Drosophila melanogaster: one gene and its partner. The protein of the gene in region 1 purifies or fractionates together with the protein of each later gene. This does not show direct contact. Each region holds a gene or a part of one and is shown in the gene's direction. Other genes may lie near its edges. The genes, in order: Atg9 and EndoA.

Region 1 (5,140 bases):
GTCCTTGTTATCCACCTCGATATTTTCCATCTTTTGAAGAGTGTCTAATCCTCCGACAAGCTTTCCAAAGATGGTGTGTTTGCCGTCGAGATGTTTGCAAGAGCGATAGGTGATAAAGCTACGAAACAGCGTATACTTGCAAAAGCATTGAAAAAATGTCACTTTGTGGTACTTACAACTGAGAGCCATTGGTGTTGGGTCCCGAATTGGCCATTGATAGCACTCCTCGGCCCGTGTGCGTAAGATTCGGCTTAAACTCGTCCTCAAACTTCTTGCCCCAAATGGACTCGCCACCAGAACCACTTCCAGTGGGATCACCACCTTGCACCTGTGGATAAAACCATAGTAAATTAAAGTTTCTCTCAAAAGAGATCGTACTTACAATAAAATTCCTTATGGACCGGTGAAACATAACATTATTGTAGTAACCATTGGCGCAATGCTTGATGAAGTTATCGCAGGCTCGAGGAGTTTGATCGCAGAAGAGCTCCAGGTTGAGAGGGCCAAGGTTCGTATTTAAACGAACGTAGCCCTTCTTTTTTACCCGCTCGTACTTGACCAAATCATCATCTATGATAGCCGCCTCTATTTGGGAAACGGGCACCATGGCGGTAGACGTAAAACTGGCCGCCACCGCTCCAGTTGAATAGTGAGCTGCGTTGAACTTGTCAGCTGTACGCTTCGAAGTGGAGGCCTCCTCTTCCGCTGGCTGATAGTCCTGCTGCAGCTGTTCCAGCGTCTCCTTGGTCTCCAGATTCATGGTCTTAATGCGGCCGCTGGCTGGATTCTTTCTCTCTTGCTGCTCTTCTTCCGTCAGGACTCGTAGATTCTTCTTAATATGATAGAAGGTCGAGATGTCGTACTTTTCCAGCTTCTGAGGATCTTGTATTGTGATGATATCCTTACGCTGGAATGGCGTGTCATCCACCAGATCCTTCCAGTTCTTTGTCTTAATGTTCAGCTGGTCGATTGCCTCCCAGCAGTATACATTTCCAGTTGTGGCCACCGCCACGATGTGCGAGTTCTTGCTGAAGGGCTTGAACAAGGCGGGGCAGTGGTACTCATCGTTTGCATTCCTGTGGAAGTTCAGCTTCACCAATGACTTGGAGTCCATCTTCTGCCCGGTGATGGGGTTCACCTTAAAGGTCTTGAGAAACTTAAGAATGGCCTCGTACTCGAACACATTGCCCTGTAGATCGCAGTAGGGCATCTCGTAGGGCGCCATCGTAATGCAGCAGTGCTCGAATGGCAGCCGCTTGAACTTGACATGGTCGTTCTCCAAGGATTCCACTTTTTTGCCGCCATACAGCTCACTCCACTCCGTGTACGTGAGGTACCTGTTAAAGCAATGGGTAGTCTTCATTTCCATAACTCGCTGGATGTGCTAAATACTTACATTTTGTCCTTTTGATGCTGCCTTTTACCCATCTTGGCTGTTTGTTTTTTTAAATTAAATTTGCAATAAAGTAAGAGCTACAAATAGTTTGTTTACAAATGCGGGAGAGAACTGCCAACTCTGTGCAGATTTATGTTGATGGATATCTAGGCTGTTCACACTTCGGGTACCATAAACAAAAGTATCGAGTATTTCAAAAAGTTAAAAACGAATATAAAAACAAATAACAAGAAAAATGCAAATTTAATTATTTATAAGTATTAATTTTATAAGATACCTTTGATTCTCCAATGTGTGTTATTTAGAGATGCCCTGGCAGTGTGAACACTGCACATTGGGCGCTGCAAGAGGTTCGCCTTACTTATTCATTACCCAGTATTTTGACGTTGGCCAACACTTCTCTTAGGAGAGTCAGCTGTTTGCTGAGAAGGTTCAGCAGAATCAAACAACAAAGAATTTTCCAACTTATACTATACAGCGATATAAATAGTCAGAACGGTTGACCTTGACGTTGGGCGATGTCTAGCCCACATATCAACTACCGCTCCCTGGCCGAGGAGGCGGCCAGTCCGTTCCTGGAGCACCATCCCTCCACAGGCCAAGGCCCATCCAAAACACAAGACGCAAAAGCGAACGCAGCTGCTGCGCATTTAGACCCCCTCGGTGAACACGGGCTGGAGCAGCCGCTGGATGAGCACGACACCGAGCATGAGGGCGAGGACACGCCTCGAAACAGTGGCGTCATGATCCACATGGTTCCGGAGACGGGGCGTGCGCGGTGGAACCACATCGAGGACCTTGACTCGTTCTTCTCGCGAATGTATCAGTACCAGCAGAAGCACGGATTCACAGTGATTGTAGTGGACGAAATGCTACAGGTTCTGGAGTTTGGTTTCGTCGTCTGGCTACTTGCCTTTGTGATGCACTGCGTCCGATTTGACGTGCTCTTTGGGGACACCCCTCCAGGGGGACTTAACCCCAACAAGACAACTTTATCCGATGTGATGTACCCCACAGGCGAGTGCTTAGCCAACTTCACTTGGGTCACGTACCTGGTTGTGTTCATAGCCGCTATCTATTTGGGCATAAGGCTTCTGAAAATGGTGTACCATATTACCCAGTACGCCGATATAAAGAGATTCTACAACTCTGCGCTTCATATCGAGGATTCGGATCTGGACAACTTTACGTGGCACGAGGTGCAACAGCGGATTCGTCGCGTCCAGGCCGAACAGCATATGTGCATCGACAAGGAGTCGCTTACGGAATTGGACATCTATCACCGAGTTCTGCGCTTCAAGAACTACCTAGTGGCACTGATGAACAAGCAACTGCTGCCTGTAAGGTTCCACATACCGCTGTATGGCGAAGTGGTCTCGCTGAGTAGAGGTATGTTGTTCAACATTGACTTCATCTTGTTTCGCGGCCCTGGATCTCCCTTCCAGAACAATTGGCAGCTGCGTGATGAGTTTGCGGTAAGAAGCAATCAAACGGAGCTGGCGCAGCGACTCTCCAAACTGATATTGGGGGTGGCGTTGTTAAATTTGGTCCTAGCGCCTGTGATCTTCGTATGGCAACTTATCTACTTCAGTTTCTCCTATGCGAACATTCTTCGTAAGGAGCCTGGTGCCCTTGGCCTGCGTACATGGTCCAATTACGGCCGCCTCTACCTGCGCCACTTTAATGAACTGGACCACGAACTAGATGCCAGGCTGAATCGGGCATATGACTACGCGGACCGCTATCTCAACTCCTTTTCCTCGCCACTGGCCGCTGTGATAGCCAAAAACCTACTCTTTATCAGTGGAGGACTACTACTTCTAATCCTTGCATTGGGCATTTACGAGGAACACGTCTTCCAGGTGGAGCATTTGCTTGCCATCCTTGCAGGGCTCGGCGCCATAGGTGTGGTCTGCAGAACTCTAATACCGGATGAGAATCTCGTTTGGTGCCCAGAGCAGCTAATGACCGCCATTCTGGCGCACGTTCACTACCTGCCCTCCGAGTGGCGGCAGCAGGCGCACACGACAAAGGTTCGCCAGGAGTTTAGCAACTTCTTTCAGTTTAAGGCTGGCTACCTACTCAGCGAAATCTTCAGTCCCTTCGTCACACCCTTCGTGCTGATCTTTGTGTTCAGGCCAAAGGCCATAGAGCTGGTGCGTTTCTTCAGGACGTTCACCGTATCCGTGCGAGGAGTGGGCAACGTATGCTCCTTTGCCCAGATGGATGTTCGCAAGCATGGCAATCCCGACTGGCAGTTAACCAGCGAACTGGAGGAGATGACCCGGGCTACAGCTCAACAGCCGCAGCAGGAGCCACAGCAGCAAAGTTTGGCCGGCGGCAAAACGGAGATGTCGCTTCTTCGCTTCACCCTGAACAATCCCGAGTGGCAGATGCCCAAGGAGGCCAAGCAGTTCCTGCGCGGCGTTAGAGAGCACGCCGTTGGTGAACTAGTCCAGGCCAAGACGTCGATGGTGCAGGAGAACCCGCTGACCAACAGCCTCATCTCATTTGGCACCATGGGAGCGGATTATTGTTCCATTGCGAACTCTGTGCTGACCGCACAGGTGACGCCCCAGCAACTGGAGATTTCGCAGTCGTTGCGTCCGGGTCTAGGACCGGTATCTGGAGGATTCCCCGTCGCAGCCAGCGACTTCCGCCAGATGTTGCAGCAGAATCTGTCCGCCAGTGTCGGCCCGCTGGACAGCATGCGCCGATTGCGCCTCAGCCGGGCTGAAGGCCGCTTGGAGGGTCCGACGGATACACTGCTCTACGGACTCTGTGGTGTGGACCCGCGCGTGGGCAGCACTCCCTTGAATGTGGGCGTGGCCGACATGTGCCTCAGTGCCCTCTATTTGCACGAGCTGAACCAGCAGAAGCGCCAAGCGCGCCAGTCTCGCATCGACGAGGCCGAGGACGAGCGTCCTGGTACGAGCCATTGGCCACCGCGACCACCAGCTGCTCCGTCGGCTGATACTGGCTTCGGCTCCCGCCATACCGTGATTACCTCAAAGGCTGCCGAGAGCACGCCGCTTTTGGGTAGCATCCGCTCATAGCAGCGGCCAGAGTGGATCTAACCACCTGTAGAGCTAAGGACCACCCATTCTGCTATTAGTGATTAACCTAAATTTTAAAGTGTAAACGAACGAACGACGTCGTCTAGTGCGTAGCTAAACTAATCTGAAACTAAGCTAAACTAAACGAGAAGCAATAAACATAAATGCATTATCAAATTGATCAGCTTTATTATTTCAAAGGAAATTTCGCTAGATAATAACTAAATCTATTAGTGTGTAGTAGTTGTGATTACCCATTACCCATATTTACATATATATATATGTATAAACTATTTACCTGGTTTGATTATAATGGCTTGTAAATCCTAAGCATTATCCGTTGTGTATCCTGTGTACAACAACTGAAAGGAGACACCATAAAAAAAATCCATTTTCATTGTGAAGATTATATTTAATGTCTTTACGGCTTATCCCGATCTTAGCTCTCCGGGATGTGGGAATGCCAGCTCCATCAGCACTGATGGATGGTCCCCATTTGTAGGCATTGTTGGCACACCACATCCACCTGGTCCAGAGATCCAGATGCGAGTGGCTGAGGAGAACGCATCCAGCTGTGCTGCAGCGCCTCGTGTGTCACTTGCCACACACGAACGCCATTTGGCGATTGGTGTTGATGGCCAATGCGGCGAGCAGAGACCAAAGACTGGAGGAGATCGGGGCGCACAGA
Region 2 (6,746 bases), on another chromosome or scaffold:
TAGTCGAGGTCGAACCAGGATTTTCGTGACGGTGACGTGAGCAGCCAAGTATTTGCGCCCCGAAAAGCGTCAAGAAGGCAAACGCCAAAATTTGTAATTCCCGATGGGAAATTTAATAAAGCAGCGGAATGCAAAGCTCGGCCGGCCACATCAAAGCATGTCCTAGGTCAGGAGTCCTTTGGCCTCCCCCCCCCTCCCCCCCTTACCACACACACACACACACACACCTTTGCACCCCTTAAACCAGCATAGGAAATTCCGGCATTAGGCTTATTTAAATTTTATTGCATCTATGTTGGTCGATTGCTAAGCTAGGAAGTATTGGACACTAAGGCAGCCGGAGGACAGGACTAGAATCCTAGGCAGCAGCTGCTCCTGTGGGACTGGCGGTGGCGGCCAAACGGGCCTGCCACTCGTCATCGATGGCCTTCAGCTGGTTCTTGGCCGTGGTCAGCAGAGGCTTGACACAGCGTATCTGCAGCCAGGGCAAAGTGGCGTTGTTGCAGCCACTGATCGACTCCTCCGAGGTGGCCACCACATCCAGGACGCGCTCCGCCAGGTCGGCGGGAAAGTCAGGCTGGGAGAGCAGACGCTCGGCTTCGCGTTGCAGGACTATCGACTGGAAGAATGAGGAAATCGAGGCGCCTCCAAAGGGAGCAGACGGTGCCACGGGAGCGGCTACACCGGCGGCAGCTCCTGTGCCAGCACCTCCGAAAATTCCATTTAGGAAGGGATTAAAGGCAGCCGCATACGGATTGGCGGCGGCAAAGGGATTTCCGGCAAGGGGATTTCCAACAGTAGCTCCAGGGCCCTTACGAGTAAATTATGATAATTCGGTTACATAATAATCCACTTAATGGGGGGGCCCATATCCACAACTCCTCACCTGTGCACTGATGCAGGCAATGCTGGCCGCCAGTAGAACAATTGCGAATTTCATTTCTTTTAATTTATCTGAGTTCACTTGGTTCTCAGTCGTTGGGTTTCGTCTAGACTAATTGCCAAAAGCACAACGGCTTGCGGCTTTTATACGCCATTAAAAACACGGCAGGGAGATCTTATCTCTGATATCTCAACTATTACTACTGCGATTGAACTGATTTACATGTTCATTGTTTGTTCGGTGGTGCTAAGTACCTCTCGGGGGTTATCTGTTCAGATAGAGCCAGAATATATAAAAAAAAAAAAGGTGGTAAAATTGCTACTTCATGCTGTGAACGTCACTGGTTTTTACGATGCAAATGGGGTTTAATTTTTGCCTGGGATATATTTGCCACCTTCTAGAAAGATAAAATTGACTGCTGTGCTACTGGTTATTTTGCGCACAGTTATTTTGGTAAACAGGATAAACATGATATTTTCTTATCCATTCTGAGTCATTCCATTTTTATCTTAGCGTAACATTCATCAGCAGTTATACAGCTTTATTTTTGCTGAGTACGTTTTCTATCAATATAATATATTTATGTATTGTAATGTTAGAATTTTACGCGCCAAACTGTTATTCTAATCTAACAGCTATTCGATTAACAGCATGTACAAGGACAGAGCAAATACAGAGACCGACAGTGGGACCGACCATATTTATTCTAGTCTAATAATTCTGCCAATCAACATAGATTTCAAATTCAAATTTATAATGCATTAACATTATAAGTATTAGATATTAAATGTAAGATATTATGTTAACTGTTTATGTGCTTCTGGCTTCTTAATATAAAATATATATATTACTTTAATTTTTAATATTGTTTTGATATATATATATAACTATCTAATACCCCCCTGCAAAGAAATTAAATGAAAATGTTAAGTTGTACCTCACATCTTTAACATATGCCTAGAGATGAGCGTATCCCGTGTATGTCCGTTGTTGTATGCGAATGATTTTGGTATTTTACGAACCACCGGTCACACTGAATGTTTTTTAACAGAATTATCGATAGTCCCGCAGCTCCAGTGGCTTAGTGCCGTTGAAAATTGTTGTACACAGTCAAGATATTGATTTTTGCGAGCCGAGAGGAAAACGCGACCCCACAGCCCCCGCCCCCTGTGCGCGACCAGTAGTAGTAGTAACGACTCACGGTCCTTCAAACATTACGCAGCCCAAGGTTCTGGAAAAAATCGAAGATTACGAGCAGAGCAACAAAAAAAAAAACGGGGCAGAACGTGCAGAGCAAGCGAAGCGAGTGAAAGTGCCCGCAGTAGTGGTCAGCAAAAGTAGAACTCGAACTCGGGCTACAGTTCACCAAGCCAATTCGAGTTTCCCGACTCGCAGCCTCCACTGAGCGAGCAGAAGAGCCCCGGAAAGTAGCACCCCCAGCGGAGAAGGAACGGAGAAAAGTGCAGTACGCGTAAGTCTTCCAAACGTAAACGTTTTAAAAATAGACACACTCAGCCAGCCAGCCAGCCAGCCAGGCAGTCGGGCAGTCAGTGAGGCAGCCATCCAGTCCATTGATGAAATTGTTGACTTGATGATATTGACATTGAATTTGAAATCGAGTCTCGACTAACCCAACCAACCCGTTCACAGCAACTGCGTCGAGCGCCCCAAGACCAATTTAATCAGAGGAAGAAAACCAGAAGAGACAGCAGCAGCCATGGCTTTCGCCGGACTCAAAAAGCAGATCAACAAGGCCAACCAGTATATGACGGAGAAGATGGGCGGTGCCGAGGGCACCAAACTGGACATGGACTTCATGGAGATGGAACGCAAGACGGACGTCACCGTGGAGCTAGTGGAGGAGCTGCAGCTAAAGACGAAGGAGTTCCTGCAGCCGAATCCAACGGCACGGGCCAAAATGGCAGCGGTCAAGGGCATCTCGAAGCTGTCCGGACAGGCCAAGTCCAATACGTATCCGCAACCGGAGGGCCTGCTCGCGGAATGCATGCTGACTTATGGGAAGAAGCTCGGCGAGGACAACAGCGTGTTCGCGCAGGCGCTCGTCGAATTCGGCGAAGCGCTGAAACAGATGGCCGACGTCAAGTATTCGCTGGACGACAACATCAAGCAGAACTTTTTGGAGCCACTGCATCATATGCAGACCAAAGACCTCAAGGAGGTAATGCATCATCGCAAGAAGCTGCAGGGCCGGCGGCTAGACTTTGACTGCAAGCGTCGCCGACAGGCCAAGGACGATGAGATTCGTGGTGCCGAGGACAAGTTCGGTGAATCGCTCCAGCTGGCCCAGGTGGGCATGTTCAATTTGCTCGAGAACGATACGGAGCATGTCTCCCAGCTGGTCACCTTTGCCGAGGCACTATACGATTTTCATTCGCAATGCGCGGATGTCCTTCGAGGCCTGCAGGAGACACTGCAGGAGAAGCGCTCCGAGGCGGAGAGCCGGCCACGCAACGAGTTCGTGCCCAAGACGCTGCTCGATCTGAACTTGGACGGCGGTGGCGGCGGCCTCAACGAAGATGGCACGCCGTCTCACATTAGTTCGAGCGCCTCGCCGTTGCCCTCGCCGATGCGTTCGCCCGCCAAGTCGATGGCCGTAACGCCGCAGCGCCAGCAGCAGCCCTGCTGCCAGGCCCTCTACGACTTCGAGCCGGAGAATCCCGGCGAACTGGCCTTCAAGGAGAACGACATTATCACCCTGTTGAATCGCGTCGACGACAATTGGTTCGAGGGCGCGGTGAATGGCCGCACCGGTTACTTCCCGCAGTCGTATGTTCAGGTGCAGGTGCCCCTGCCCAATGGCAACTAGGCTATTCCTCATCCTGTTCCTCGTATTAATCCCGATCCCTAAACCAATCCCATCCTATCAAACTGGCTGAAGACGTACGTAGATCGCTGATTGGAGAACAATAACCTTAATTGTTGGTTTCGCCACCAGAGGCGCGAAATTGGGCAGCCCAAGCCGATGCAGAAGCAGGAGCAGCAGAAGCAGCAGCAGCAGCACATAAATGCAAATATATATATATAGTTGAATTAGATGAGCGGGTTACTACGATTACGGATATTACGATACGGCTTAGCTAGCAGCACACAGCAGGCTAAATTCATGGTGGCCATAGAGCAAGCTAACTAAATTTTATGTGCAAAATTATACCAGTTGGCAACACAATAATTAACAAATTAACTACGAGTTAAATTAATGTACGTATTAACTAACTAAATTTACAAGACGTTACGCGCGCAATGCCACTTCCTTGCGTTTTTACCTTTGATTCTCAAACGTCAGCTTTGTTGTTCGTTGCAAGTTGCGAACATTTAGTACTACTTCACACAATAGATCGATCACGTATTAGAACAGTTGGTCCGGCGGCAGAAGCAAACAGAAAAACACTCTAGCTAATTAACTAAATTACCCGTGTAATCTTAATCACGCCCATGGAGGCGCGTCTCTTTTGTCTTTCCACCTGAGTTCTTCTAGCCTCCAGTTTTCGGAGGTCTTTTTATCCGGTCTCATCGTTGTAATTTAAACCAACCTACGCCAATGCGCTCTCTATGCAAATGTCCCTTTATAGGCTAAAGCTACGTATCCACACCATACGCCCGCCCACATGCATATACATATTTATTATATACCCGAAAATACCTACATATACCTACTCTACCTACGTATATTTGTGCAAAAACAATACTCCCCACACTCTATTCTAAAAGGCATACGGAATACCGTTCTTGATGTTCGTTGTTCAATGTAAAGAATAATTCAATTCAATTTTTCGAGGATGAAACAAGCGAAATTTGTATCCTACTTTTTGCTCCTTTTTATGTGTGTTGTTTTTTTTGTTTGTTAATTATATACATAACAACTATATATATATATATTAAATGAAATCAAATATATGTATAAATATATTTATTAAGCGTATTATCTACATGTATATTTATTATTATGTATTTATTATAAATTATACTGAGCAGCAACGTAAACAATATAATGAATATTTAAACGATGATAACAGATAAAAAGTACTAGCGGCAAGTAAATGTAACAGAATCCTCCTAAACAATACCAACCAACAAGCATAATACTAGTTAAACGATTTCCACAAAAATGTTGATAATAATAACTTTAAACGTAAGCAAAATCCAGTCAAGTCAATCGAAGCATAGCAACACTTACGAACCTACTAACGCGTTTACCAACCGCAACTCTAGATCAAATATTTATATATTTAACGAGATAATAATAAACATTCGACGGCAAACCGATAAAATGATTCAAAATAGTCTCATGTTGGCATACAGCTATGCACGATATACATACGAATGTATATACATATATATACTCGTACGTTTAGGAATGATATACACAAGATACATATATATTTACGTATGAAGAAAACCATTGAATTGAAAGCCATGCAACTTGTGTTGATAATAAATTTGTTAAATGCCAAGAAAACATTTAACAGAATTATATATTCGAGTGCGAAGATGAAACATTTGCCTCGTGGACGGACAGACTGCCAGTGCGAACATTTCCAGAGGATACCCCATCTGGGGAGGATCCACCCATCGCCTGGAGACTATCTTTCCACGCGATACACACTTGCCCCACGTGCAGCGGGGCCCGAACTTCAAACAATAATTATTGTAATTTTGCATTTTTGTGTGGGCGGTAACTTGAATAATATATATTACAAGGCATATACATAATAATAATAACTATGCTAAAACTGAAGACCCTAATTTATGCAAACCAAAATTAATAAAATTTAATTTTTAATGTGTCTTTCGTTCAAAGTCATAACTGAGAAACAACAAAAAAAAAAACAAGCAAACGTCGTTTACTCTTTGATATTTCCCATCTGACCTTAAAACCATAAAACGTGCTGCCTGTTGTGTAACACAGAGACTCGAATGCTGCTGGGAATGGGTGGTGGTGGGCGATGTGGGAATCCGGAGGCGCCACCAATAAACTACAACAGAAGCATTGAAATTTTCGATTTTCCACACACAGACACAGGCAGCCGCCAGCACACCCTCCCCTCCCCTATCCCACTGACCCAGTGGGCATGACATTGAAACGTGACGCAGCATCCAACCCCTGATGCCCACGCCTCCAGTCCAAAAAGTGGGTGAGGTCATGCTGCCAGGACACGAGTGTTTGCCAGTCTGGGCTGATGCAACCAATTCAGTCAGTGGGGGAATCTTCAGTCTTCTTTCTTTGCCAATTCTGTTGGCTATTTTTTTGGCATTGCGCAGGTGAAAATCAAGGCAATATATTTTTATCTGTTTGTTTGTAAAAAGCAATTAAAGTTTTCCCTTAATGTAAACTTGGAAATTTGTTCAAAGAACATACATATGTACATACTCTAAACAAATGCTTAATTCTTATGATTACCATTGCTTTTGAAAACATTGATCTTTTTATTAGCCATGCTTAAAGATTAGCAGCTCGCTTCAAAGTTAAACAAAGTTTATTATTGAAAGTATTGTATGTTACTTTTTTTTTATTATTTTAATAAGAATATACATTAATATAATATTATCATTTCTACCTTTTGCAATTCCTATTTGTATGACCGCAACTGTAACGGCATGTGAAGTGAAAAACATTGGCATGGTTGAGTTATCAACCATTGGACATGCGATAAGACAACACACCCAATCTATTGAATACTCTTAGTCAGACCTACGAGAAGACCACATACTCCTCATACTGACCGAGAATCCTGCGCTTGGGCCGCTGCAACGCCTCGTGGCCCAAGGTCAGACAGACGGGCTGATCCTTGTAGACGCCCTGCTCCTGGAGCACAGCGTGCGGAGCACATCGCCAGGGATCCTT

What was found.
Region 2: the proteins of Atg9 (region 1) and EndoA purify together in Drosophila melanogaster (affinity purification with western blotting, with the first as the bait; one study listed by BioGRID). This does not show direct contact.

The regions. Positions count from the first base shown.
Region 1 is NT_033778.4:16,292,607-16,297,746, forward strand, and holds Atg9 (Autophagy-related 9), read left to right. Parts: upstream 1-1,793; 5' UTR 1,794-1,914; coding exon 1,915-4,452; coding exon of another isoform or gene 4,453-4,473; 3' UTR 4,474-4,626; downstream 4,627-5,140. Other genes in the region: CG7747 (uncharacterized protein), read right to left, coding at 1-118, 177-328, 383-1,337, 1,397-1,428.
Region 2 is NT_033777.3:18,904,667-18,911,412, forward strand, and holds EndoA (endophilin A), read left to right. Parts: upstream 1-1,942; 5' UTR 1,943-2,354; exon of another isoform or gene 2,355-2,533; 5' UTR 2,534-2,600; coding exon 2,601-3,710; 3' UTR 3,711-3,784; exon of another isoform or gene 3,785-3,839; 3' UTR 3,840-6,089; downstream 6,090-6,746. Other genes in the region: CG14292 (uncharacterized protein), read right to left, coding at 359-811, 887-940; Sgsh (N-sulfoglucosamine sulfohydrolase), read right to left, coding at 6,594-6,746. UniProt on the Drosophila melanogaster protein: Required presynaptically at the neuromuscular junction. Implicated in synaptic vesicle endocytosis.